Nothobranchius furzeri: one gene and its partner. The protein of the gene in region 2 purifies or fractionates together with the protein of the main gene of each other region. This does not show direct contact. Links are inferred from orthologs where the notes say so. Each region holds a gene or a part of one and is shown on either strand. Other genes may lie near its edges.

Region 1 (4,382 bases), on a different chromosome or scaffold from region 2:
CACCAAAATCAAGGGAAAATAAATGCATATTATCCCTACATTTAAAAGCAAAATGATGGGTCAGTGTAAGAATCTTTGCTTTGATGTGTTTAACACAAAACTGCGCGCATTGTAAGACGACAGAAATGACACAGGATGTTTTGATCTGCTCATAATCATGCTAACGGGCTAGCGGTAGTCATCTGATGCAGCCATCACTCCAATGTCCAGAAAAAACACGGAAATGTTACTTTTTCTGTAAAAACAAAACAAAATTTACACCACCTACCATCAACTATATCACTCTGTAAATCTGATACACCCATCTTGTTGCCCCAAACAACGGCAAGCGTTAGCTAGCAAGGGGAGAGCAAGAAGCGTCGTTAGGTTGTCAGATGCTGTGCGAAAGGCATTGTGGGAAATGCAGTTCACTTATTCACTTTCATTGGTATATTGCATCGACTTTCGTCTTAAAAAGACTACAGTTTTCCAAAAGCGCGCCGACGTCCCGACAGCCAAGTTGTAGTGAAAAACCATAATTAAAAAAAAAGACTGGATAAAAACGTCAAATTAAATATATAGGATTCAGTGTAAAACTATAATCTTTTTTATTTGCATCATACATTTGTTTTTTTCTTTACGTTTTGTTGCTGCGCATGTTTGGCAAGAGAGAAATATTGTATGAACTTATTGTAGTCATATTATTATTTTATTGGTTTGAGATTTTTGTTAGTATTTATCCAAAAGAAAGAAGAAAAGTGCCTAAAACGATATTAAAAGTGTACTTTGAAAGTACTCTAATTCTGTTTCCGCCTCCGTCATCTCTCTTTCCGGTTGTGAGCCGTCTCGTAGCCATCATGAAGTAAGTGTACCGAATAAAAATCTAAAGCCATCTCAACATTTAAATAAAAACGATTAATGCGTTAGCCATATAAAAATGTATTGTTTTTGTTTTCCCTTTTGTGATGTATTATATTTGTCATTTTCAGGGTTGAGTTGTGCAGTTTCAGTGGGTATAAAATATACCCCGGCCATGGCCGCCGATATGCCAGGATAGACGGAAAGGTAACTTCATCTTGTGTCCCACACCGGTTCTGTACTTAGCCGGTCTGTAATAGATATTAACATTTTCTCTAAATGAAGTTCATCGTATCGGAAATGTTATTGCTCCGTTTCTGTTGTATCTTCTGAAAGCCTTTTTACATGCTACAGTTAACGTTAGCAACCAACGTCATCATTAAGCGACTCATACGAATTTCCATGATCAAATGTAATGTTTCTAAATGTACAGCCACAAAATGTTACCAAGTGTAAATGCTATCTATTTTTGTAATGTATGTTGCATTAGAAGTAAGTTGTACGATTTAATGATGTATGACTTACATTTTAATGGACCATATCGCTTGTCAGTACAGCAACATTTACCATCTGATCTAGCCCTGGAAGTATTTTTAACCTGATCGTTTTAGTAATGTAATATGTGTTGAATGTAAGACGTTCTGTATAATCAAATATATTTAAATGTTTTTGGCAGGTCTTCCAGTTTTTGAACGCCAAGTGCGAGTCTGCCTTCCTGTCTAAGAGGAACCCCAGACAGATTAACTGGACTGTGCTGTACAGACGCAAGCACAAGAAGGGCCAGTCTGTAAGTGGCAGCTTTTTACTAGTCTTCAAGGACGAGGCACTTCTGATTTATTTATGTTTTCTTAGGAAGGTCCTTTTGAATGTTGCGGTTTTGAATTGATAACATTCATTGTAAATTTTCTTCTATTCACACCATTATTCATGCATTAAGTTGATCAAGCATATTTGGCTGCGAGTGAACGATGTGCATGGTGATGGTCCATGTTATGTGTTGTTGCTGAACTGTGTTTTGCAGTTTAACAGCAGTGCTCACACCACACCTGCAGCCATAGAACAACTGGGGATCATAGTACTGGCCTTTGACTGTCTTTCTTTTGGCATCTCTGCATTGGCCAGCCTCCAAACTCTCCAACATAATATTTTTCACCCATTTGTATTATTTCAGGTGTATTGCAAGATGGACAGTTTTCACAATTAAAATATGAAATTCCTTGAAGCGGTGCAGTCAGTTTTGCATTTTTGCTGTTTTAATTAACCCAAGTAAGGGTTTGTAGCATGCTCAATGTTCATTTCAAACTTTAAGTCTTTGTCCTTTAAAGTGTTCTTGTCCTAGAAATAAAATAGTTAAGTGTTTCATTAACTCGTTTATTTTGTGTTAGTGGTACCAGTTTTACTGATTTTAGAGTTGTGTGTTGTTGACATGCAAAGCACATTAAAATGTCACATTCAGCATGGTACAAGTAAATGTCATTTGTGTCAACAGGAAGAGGTGACAAAGAAGCGTACCCGCCGTGCAGTAAAATTCACGAGGGCCATCACTGGGGCCTCCCTGGCTGAGATCATGGCCAAGAGGAACCAGAAACCCGAGGTCCGCAAGGCCCAGAGGGAGCAGGCCATCAGGTCAGTGGACAAATTATAACTAAAGCTTGGAACCGACCCGGAGTACACATGACCAGACTGGTTTCAACAAGTGTGATTAAAGACTGGGATCACACACTTAACTGGTATTGATGAGGCTGTGAGGGATCACCGAGTACAGTTTCTCAAACCAACTTCCGACTGAATCCATCAAACTGCCAAGCTGCATCTACAGTAATAGTAGAAGGAAGTAAACATTAAAAACACTGCTGCTGTTTGCTAAGATTAAAAAGAAAAATTAGGGTTGGGTTAAGCCATGGAAGGGTTAACGTTTGAAATTTGGACTATCATTGTTTTGACATTCCTACTATTTATAAAATAATTTGAAGCCATTTCCCCACATCCCATCATTTCTTAAACATTAGCTGTTAACACATATTTGCAGATGAGTTTAACAATTTAATGCAACAAATTTATAAATTTAAACATGTTTGACTGCTGCTGACTTTAGGTCGGGTCTTTTTTGCACTCACATTTCTTATTTTTACCCCATTCACACATTTTGTTCCAACTAATCATGCAGACTAGACTGTTCCCAACTAGTGCAGACAGAAATGGTCAAATCTGACATAATGTTGTGTCTTTAGCTTTGCTCCTATTTTCTCAGTAAAACCATCAAATTTGACTTTACTGAGGTGAATGAAATGTTGGAGCTTTTTCTCACTGAACCTCAGTTTGACCTCAATGTTTTCAGTCCTAAACATGCTCTCACTTTATTCTTATCTGATAGCAACTCAAAGGGAAGCAGTTCTGACTATCAGAACAGTGATGCCATTACATTACTTTAGCTACAGCTTCTCATTCGGAGCAGGTAAAGGAAGAGACAATTTTCTATAACATGTTTTTGCTGGATCATTTAAATAATGACCGAAGCAAACTGTGTTTATGGATACTTTTTAGTAGTTTCAGCTTGTGTTTGAATTTTAAATTTAAAGTGCTACATAGGATGACTTTAAAGGGTGGGTTGTACAGCCATGTTATTAATAATGTAGCCTCCGCTTTTCCGGTTCGCGCCTCACTTTTTTTTTACAGTAGCGGCCCCAAATGATCTAATACATGGATTTTCTGCTTCCTGATCATGTGACGTATGCGAAGATCGGCTTTAGAGCTGTTTGTTCTCATGGTGCGGGGGCTCGTTCCAATGCCCACACAGTAAAAACATGCAAATGACGACTTAAGTCAATGGCAGTAAATGAGTTAACATTCAGCAAGTTAGAAAGGTTGATGAATGTGTGCGTCTGTTTTAGCCTGGTGTGCCAGACTCGTCCTCTTGTCTGTTCTACAGAGGACGAGTCGGGATACTCGGAGGCAGACAGCACCATGAGGGGTGGGACTCGCCAGCTCAAAAATAACCAATCACCAAAAAAAAAGCGAGTGACGATTGTAATTTATTACCTGTAGGCAAAGATGGCATCTAGTGACAGTGCAAACATCTTTTTTTTTAAACAAAGGCTTTTTAGCACTTCATGTTGAGGTTTTAAAGACATGTCCAAGTCATTTCGAACAAAGCCAAAGCAAACTCCGTTTCAGAAGCCATCTTTGTTTTATGAGAAACTGAGTGTGCGTGACGTACGCTGCTCAGCACTGATTGGCTCAGTCGGTGGAGTTATTTCAATAGGAATGCTACCAGGTCCTTTGCTTTCCATGAGAAAGCATTGGCATGGCTGTCCATGCTACATTTGTTATACAACAGTTACACTGAACTTCTGCGCCATTATAATTGCAAGTGTTTTATCATATATATCAGGGGCGTCAAACATGCGGCCCGCGGGCCGGATCCGGCCCGCAAGCGGGTTAAATCCGGCCCACAAAATGGTTGTGTTAACTTTATTTTCATACTTTACAATGTAGAGTGAAAATAAACTTATCATTGTGAGCAAGTTTTCTCTGTAATGAGTATA
Region 2 (4,394 bases):
TCCAATACTTTGATAGAATTTAATTTCTCAGTTCTATAAAGATCTGTATTTTAGACTCCGAATCTGCATTGGATCGTAAATGTAAACAGTCATATCTGTTTAAAGGAGCGAACCTTAAGCACCGAGCTGACCGAATCCACTCTGACATTACGCAGCCCTGAAATGTGAACCACTTTCTGTCCATCTTCTCTCGCAAACAACCTTCAGAGGCAAGAAAGGAGGAAAATATTCAAGAGGATCACATCAGTTACAATTTTAAAAGATAAAGTTGGAAAGCTTGATCTTGCTAAGCACACCCTAACCAGACAACAGACCTTTTCCTGCTGTCCAACAGGTCGTACAACTGACCGCAGTAGATCTCAAAGAAACTAGCATAAACCAGTAAGGATGAGTGCGTGTGTGTGGTGGACAGGTGAGCAAAAATGTCCCGAACTGCCAGAACATACAACCCAGGTTCCCCAGGAGATGATCCCAGCATGGTGTGAGTCTTCCCTGCACCTGTTTGTCCATATGCAAAGCAGGTGGCTTTCCCTCTGTGGATTCACGCAAAATAAACTTTAAAAGGACTGAAAAACAAAGTCATAACATGAGATAAAAGGTGCTGTGCAACCCTACCCGTTAAGCATGTGCTGCACCAGAGGAAAGGCTGTCGTTTGATACACCTCTTCATTAGAGCTCCCTTCCCCAAAAACCTGGTCAAAGTAAAACTTGTGCTGCAAAAACAAAGAAGCAGGAGAAGATGCGGAATAGGAAATAAAAAATAAATCATAGAATTCCAGGATTGTTAGATAGGTGGTTGTTTTCTTACCTGTAGTATGTACTCAGAGAGATCCACAGCTTCTTTGCTTTCACGGACAATAACGCAGTCTTCACCTGGAGTCGTCGTGACAACATCGACCTGTCCTCTTCTGCACTCTGCACGTGTCAAAGGTCTTTTCCTAACACACACTCTAATCCGCTGTCCCCCCACATACCTGACACACACACCAAACCGCAGTAAAGAATTACAATCATCAAATCAAAATGACATTACTATCGTCAGATAAAGTATTACAGATTGTTATTAAACATAGTTACATTTTACTAGCTGTGGACTCACTTGTTTTTTGGAACCAGTGGAGAACTCAGTGGGAGTCCGTAGTTGTAGCCAGCTGTTCCTTTTGCTTCAAAAACAGGTATGGGCTTAGTCGTGTCTGGAGAGACATTTTCCTTCCTGGAGGTTCCTTCTCTGAGTTTTTGTCCAAAAGGTTTGCTATCAGTATCAGTTGCACAATTGGGATTTGGTTTGTGGGATATTTTACTAATTGATAGAAAATTGTCATCAGAATTGACCGAAGAAAATCCTCTTCTGTTTTCTTCATGGTGGGAATCACATGAGCAGCTAACTGTGCCCCTCCTATTGTTTTTGCTCTTTGGGGGGCCGTATGGGGCTGCATTTCTGATGGGAAGCTCAAGTTGCATGGCTGTGGCTGATCCTTTTACCTGGACAGGCTCAACAAACCTATTATGGCTTGCAGAAACATGAACAGAATGAGGAAATTCAAGATTGAAATCAAGCTGCCTGCAAACACACTGGGGTCCAGCATACCTGGATGCATTAGATGTATTTATTGTAGCTCCGTATTTGTCAGGATCCTTGCTCACATTTTCACCAAAACTGATTCTTCCACCCACTGCAACACAGTCTCCATCACCTCCAATGTTATCATTACAAATCATAATATCATCATTCACTAGACTATTTAAGTCAAGAGTTTTGACCATTTGGACCAGATGGAAAAGTCGTGTTCTGTCCTCCATTGAGGTGATTCCCAGGAGGGGGTAATCCTCCATCCTCAGAGCTGAAAGGTGGACTGCGCGGCAAACACCAGCCAAGGTGAACCTAAGAGACAAACAACAGGAGGCCAGGTTTATATCTGGAAAACACAAGGGAAGTGTGGCCTTGGGTGGCACATATCTGCTTACCGGGCATAATGATGCTGCATCCCTGCAGCTCTCAGGAGCTCGTATAGACAAACCGTCATTTCCTGACCTTCCTTTTCTCTCCATTTACTCCTTCCCTGCACCACCTCTGAGACAGACAATGTATTCATCCATAGATCAGAAAGAGCAAAAGCATAAAGATTATCAATCTACAGAAATAAAATGACTCCTCTTACACAGAATACATCTCAAAAAGGCCTCACACTGCAACCTGCTCCAACAACAACTCAGGACAGTGTCCTGTAGGGTGATTTGTCAGAGAATTGTAACCAATGGTTGCTCACTGGGTCATTACTACAACCTCGCTCTGTTGATGGTAGGCAAAGCATGGGATGCTGAAATCTGACACTAGCAGGATAGAGCCGCAAAGTGCAGTTGACACAGGATTCTTCACTGCAGCAACTTTGATAAATATAGCAAACATTGGCTAGCAACAGTCTAATTCTACTGTAGATTGGCCAGCAGCTGTAACTGTCCTGCCATGTGATAAGAGTGGGACAGCTGAGACACAGACCAGTACATGCAGACACATTTGTGCATTTATCTCTGTGGGCATTATGCAACTCTCACCTTTGCAAACTTAAATGGATCTATATTTATAGTTGCAGAAAATTAAATACCACCATTAAAATAATAAAGTTTTCAAAAAAGTAACAATTAAAAATACTTACTTACTTTGGGCTTTTTATCTTTCAGCAGCCAAAGATATCGGACAGTAGCACGTTTAACCGAAATAACATTAATTATTTAAGCTGCCAGCCTGGATGGTATTTCCGTACTCAGAATTAGTCTCCATAACAACACAAACAGCTGACTGGTCCTTTTTTCTGTCAGCTCAAAAAAAAATTAATAAAAAAAAGTTTATCACACGTAAATAAAGAATTTCAGTGGGACAACCGGTCGAAATAACGAGCAGTTCAGCTATTACACACAGAGATAATCCGTATAAGGCTTATGCCCACCAGCAACCCATAAGAAGCCTATCGGTTTAAAGGGACAGACAGATATATACATATTTTTTTGCTTCATTGGAAGATTTCACATTTAATATATTCGTTTTTCTTTTTGTAACAAAATCAATTTCACATTTTTAAAAACATGTAAATATAAAAAAACGTGAATGTAAATTTTCTACAATAAATCCAAATAAATTATGTTGTTGCACTGCTCATATCAAAGCTTCACCTAAACGTTACAGCAATCTGACTGCGTTTTCGTGTTTAATTACATGGCTGGTTTCTAATTCATATTCAACTCTGTGGAAACAGAAACAACTTCCGCTTCGTGTTTCAGCGAGGACTAAATTTGATGTAACACACTATTATTCTTCTTCGTGGGTATCCAGTAGCGTAGCTGTTATTTTTTATTTACGTCTACAGGGTTTCCTGAAATTTGAAAGTGATGTTTATGTTTCGTCATTTGAAATTTGTCCAAGTTATTTAGCAAGTCTGCTTGATAAAGATAAAACACCAGCGGAGTTTAGTGTCTGATAAGCCGGACGTTACCCAGAAGTCCTGCTGCCACATAGGGGCAAGTAAAAGGTAGATTTATAATATATAAATATATATAAAGTTAATATTTGTTGTTTATTTTTGTGTTTTCAAGCTCTTGTACACGTTTTATCGAGGAAATCTGACAAACTACATGACATGACATAAAATCTAAATATGTCAGTTTAGTTATTAGTTAAAAACAGCTTAACTTGTTAGATTTCACTCACTGTAGAAATAACCTACGATACAATTAGTTCATAATCTTGCAATGATGTCCAGTGTGTCTTAACTTTTTTAAGAAGCAGAATAAATTCAACAATAACCTGAAACTGAGACTAGAAAGCCTCAATGAAACTGATGTTTTAAAAAAAATTCATATTAGTTGAGTTCACTAATTTTCCAAGCATTTGTCACAATCTTTCCACTGATTTTCCATTTCAGACTGATTTGTCACATTTTATTTTACCTTTAGAAGAAGAAAAAACGATCCTTTATATAGCACTTCTCAAGATAAAAATCACTAGGTGCTTCACAAGAATATAAAATGAAAAATAAAATATATAAATATGTAAAACAAGGAAAAGAAAAAAATTGATTACAAATGTAAGAAAAAGAGAAAATGAAAATGAATATGAAAGGTAATCAGTGGATCTCAGGAAGGCAGAATTGGTAGAAAGCTGAATGAGGAGAAGGTACTGAGGAAGAAACAGCAGAAGGTCATATGGCAACCTTCTAATTTAACAAAATACTTCTTTTAAACTTTGTTTAAGTTAAATTTTTTCTTGATGTTTTTTTATTTAGGATTTTAAAAAAGCCAAGGATCTTGCAGACAAGGAGCAGGAGTGGAAAAACACCTTACAAAGGAATGAATATTTCAGTTATTCCCTTCTAAAACTACATTTAATAAGTGTTCGACAT

What was found.
Region 1: the proteins of kinesin-like protein KIF24 (region 2) and cep97 purify together in Homo sapiens (co-immunoprecipitation; 4 studies listed by BioGRID and IntAct, with this or other methods). This does not show direct contact. The link is inferred for Nothobranchius furzeri from reciprocal best matches to the Homo sapiens genes KIF24 and CEP97.

The regions. Positions count from the first base shown.
Region 1 is NC_091754.1:25,616,867-25,621,248, reverse strand, and holds the start of cep97 (centrosomal protein of 97 kDa), read right to left. Parts: upstream 2,860-4,382; 5' UTR 2,651-2,859; coding exon 2,566-2,650; intron 2,464-2,565; coding exon of another isoform or gene 2,327-2,463; intron 1,981-2,326; exon of another isoform or gene 1,798-1,980; intron 1,625-1,797; coding exon of another isoform or gene 1,514-1,624; intron 1,045-1,513; coding exon of another isoform or gene 969-1,044; intron 842-968; coding exon of another isoform or gene 636-841; exon of another isoform or gene 306-635; coding exon of another isoform or gene 269-305; intron 1-268. Other genes in the region: rpl24 (large ribosomal subunit protein eL24), read left to right, coding at 636-841, 969-1,044, 1,514-1,624, 2,327-2,463. UniProt on the Homo sapiens protein: Acts as a key negative regulator of ciliogenesis in collaboration with CCP110 by capping the mother centriole thereby preventing cilia formation. Required for recruitment of CCP110 to the centrosome.
Region 2 is NC_091757.1:46,820,271-46,824,664, reverse strand, and holds the start of kinesin-like protein KIF24, read right to left. Parts: upstream 2,890-4,394; 5' UTR 2,655-2,889; intron 2,300-2,654; exon of another isoform or gene 2,160-2,299; intron 2,072-2,159; 5' UTR 2,050-2,071; coding exon of another isoform or gene 2,025-2,049; coding exon 1,966-2,024; intron 1,883-1,965; coding exon 1,100-1,882; intron 975-1,099; coding exon 809-974; intron 714-808; coding exon 616-713; intron 534-615; coding exon 315-533; intron 202-314; coding exon 114-201; intron 1-113. Other genes in the region: Rieske domain-containing protein, read left to right, coding at 4,393-4,394. UniProt on the Homo sapiens protein: Microtubule-dependent motor protein that acts as a negative regulator of ciliogenesis by mediating recruitment of CCP110 to mother centriole in cycling cells, leading to restrict nucleation of cilia at centrioles.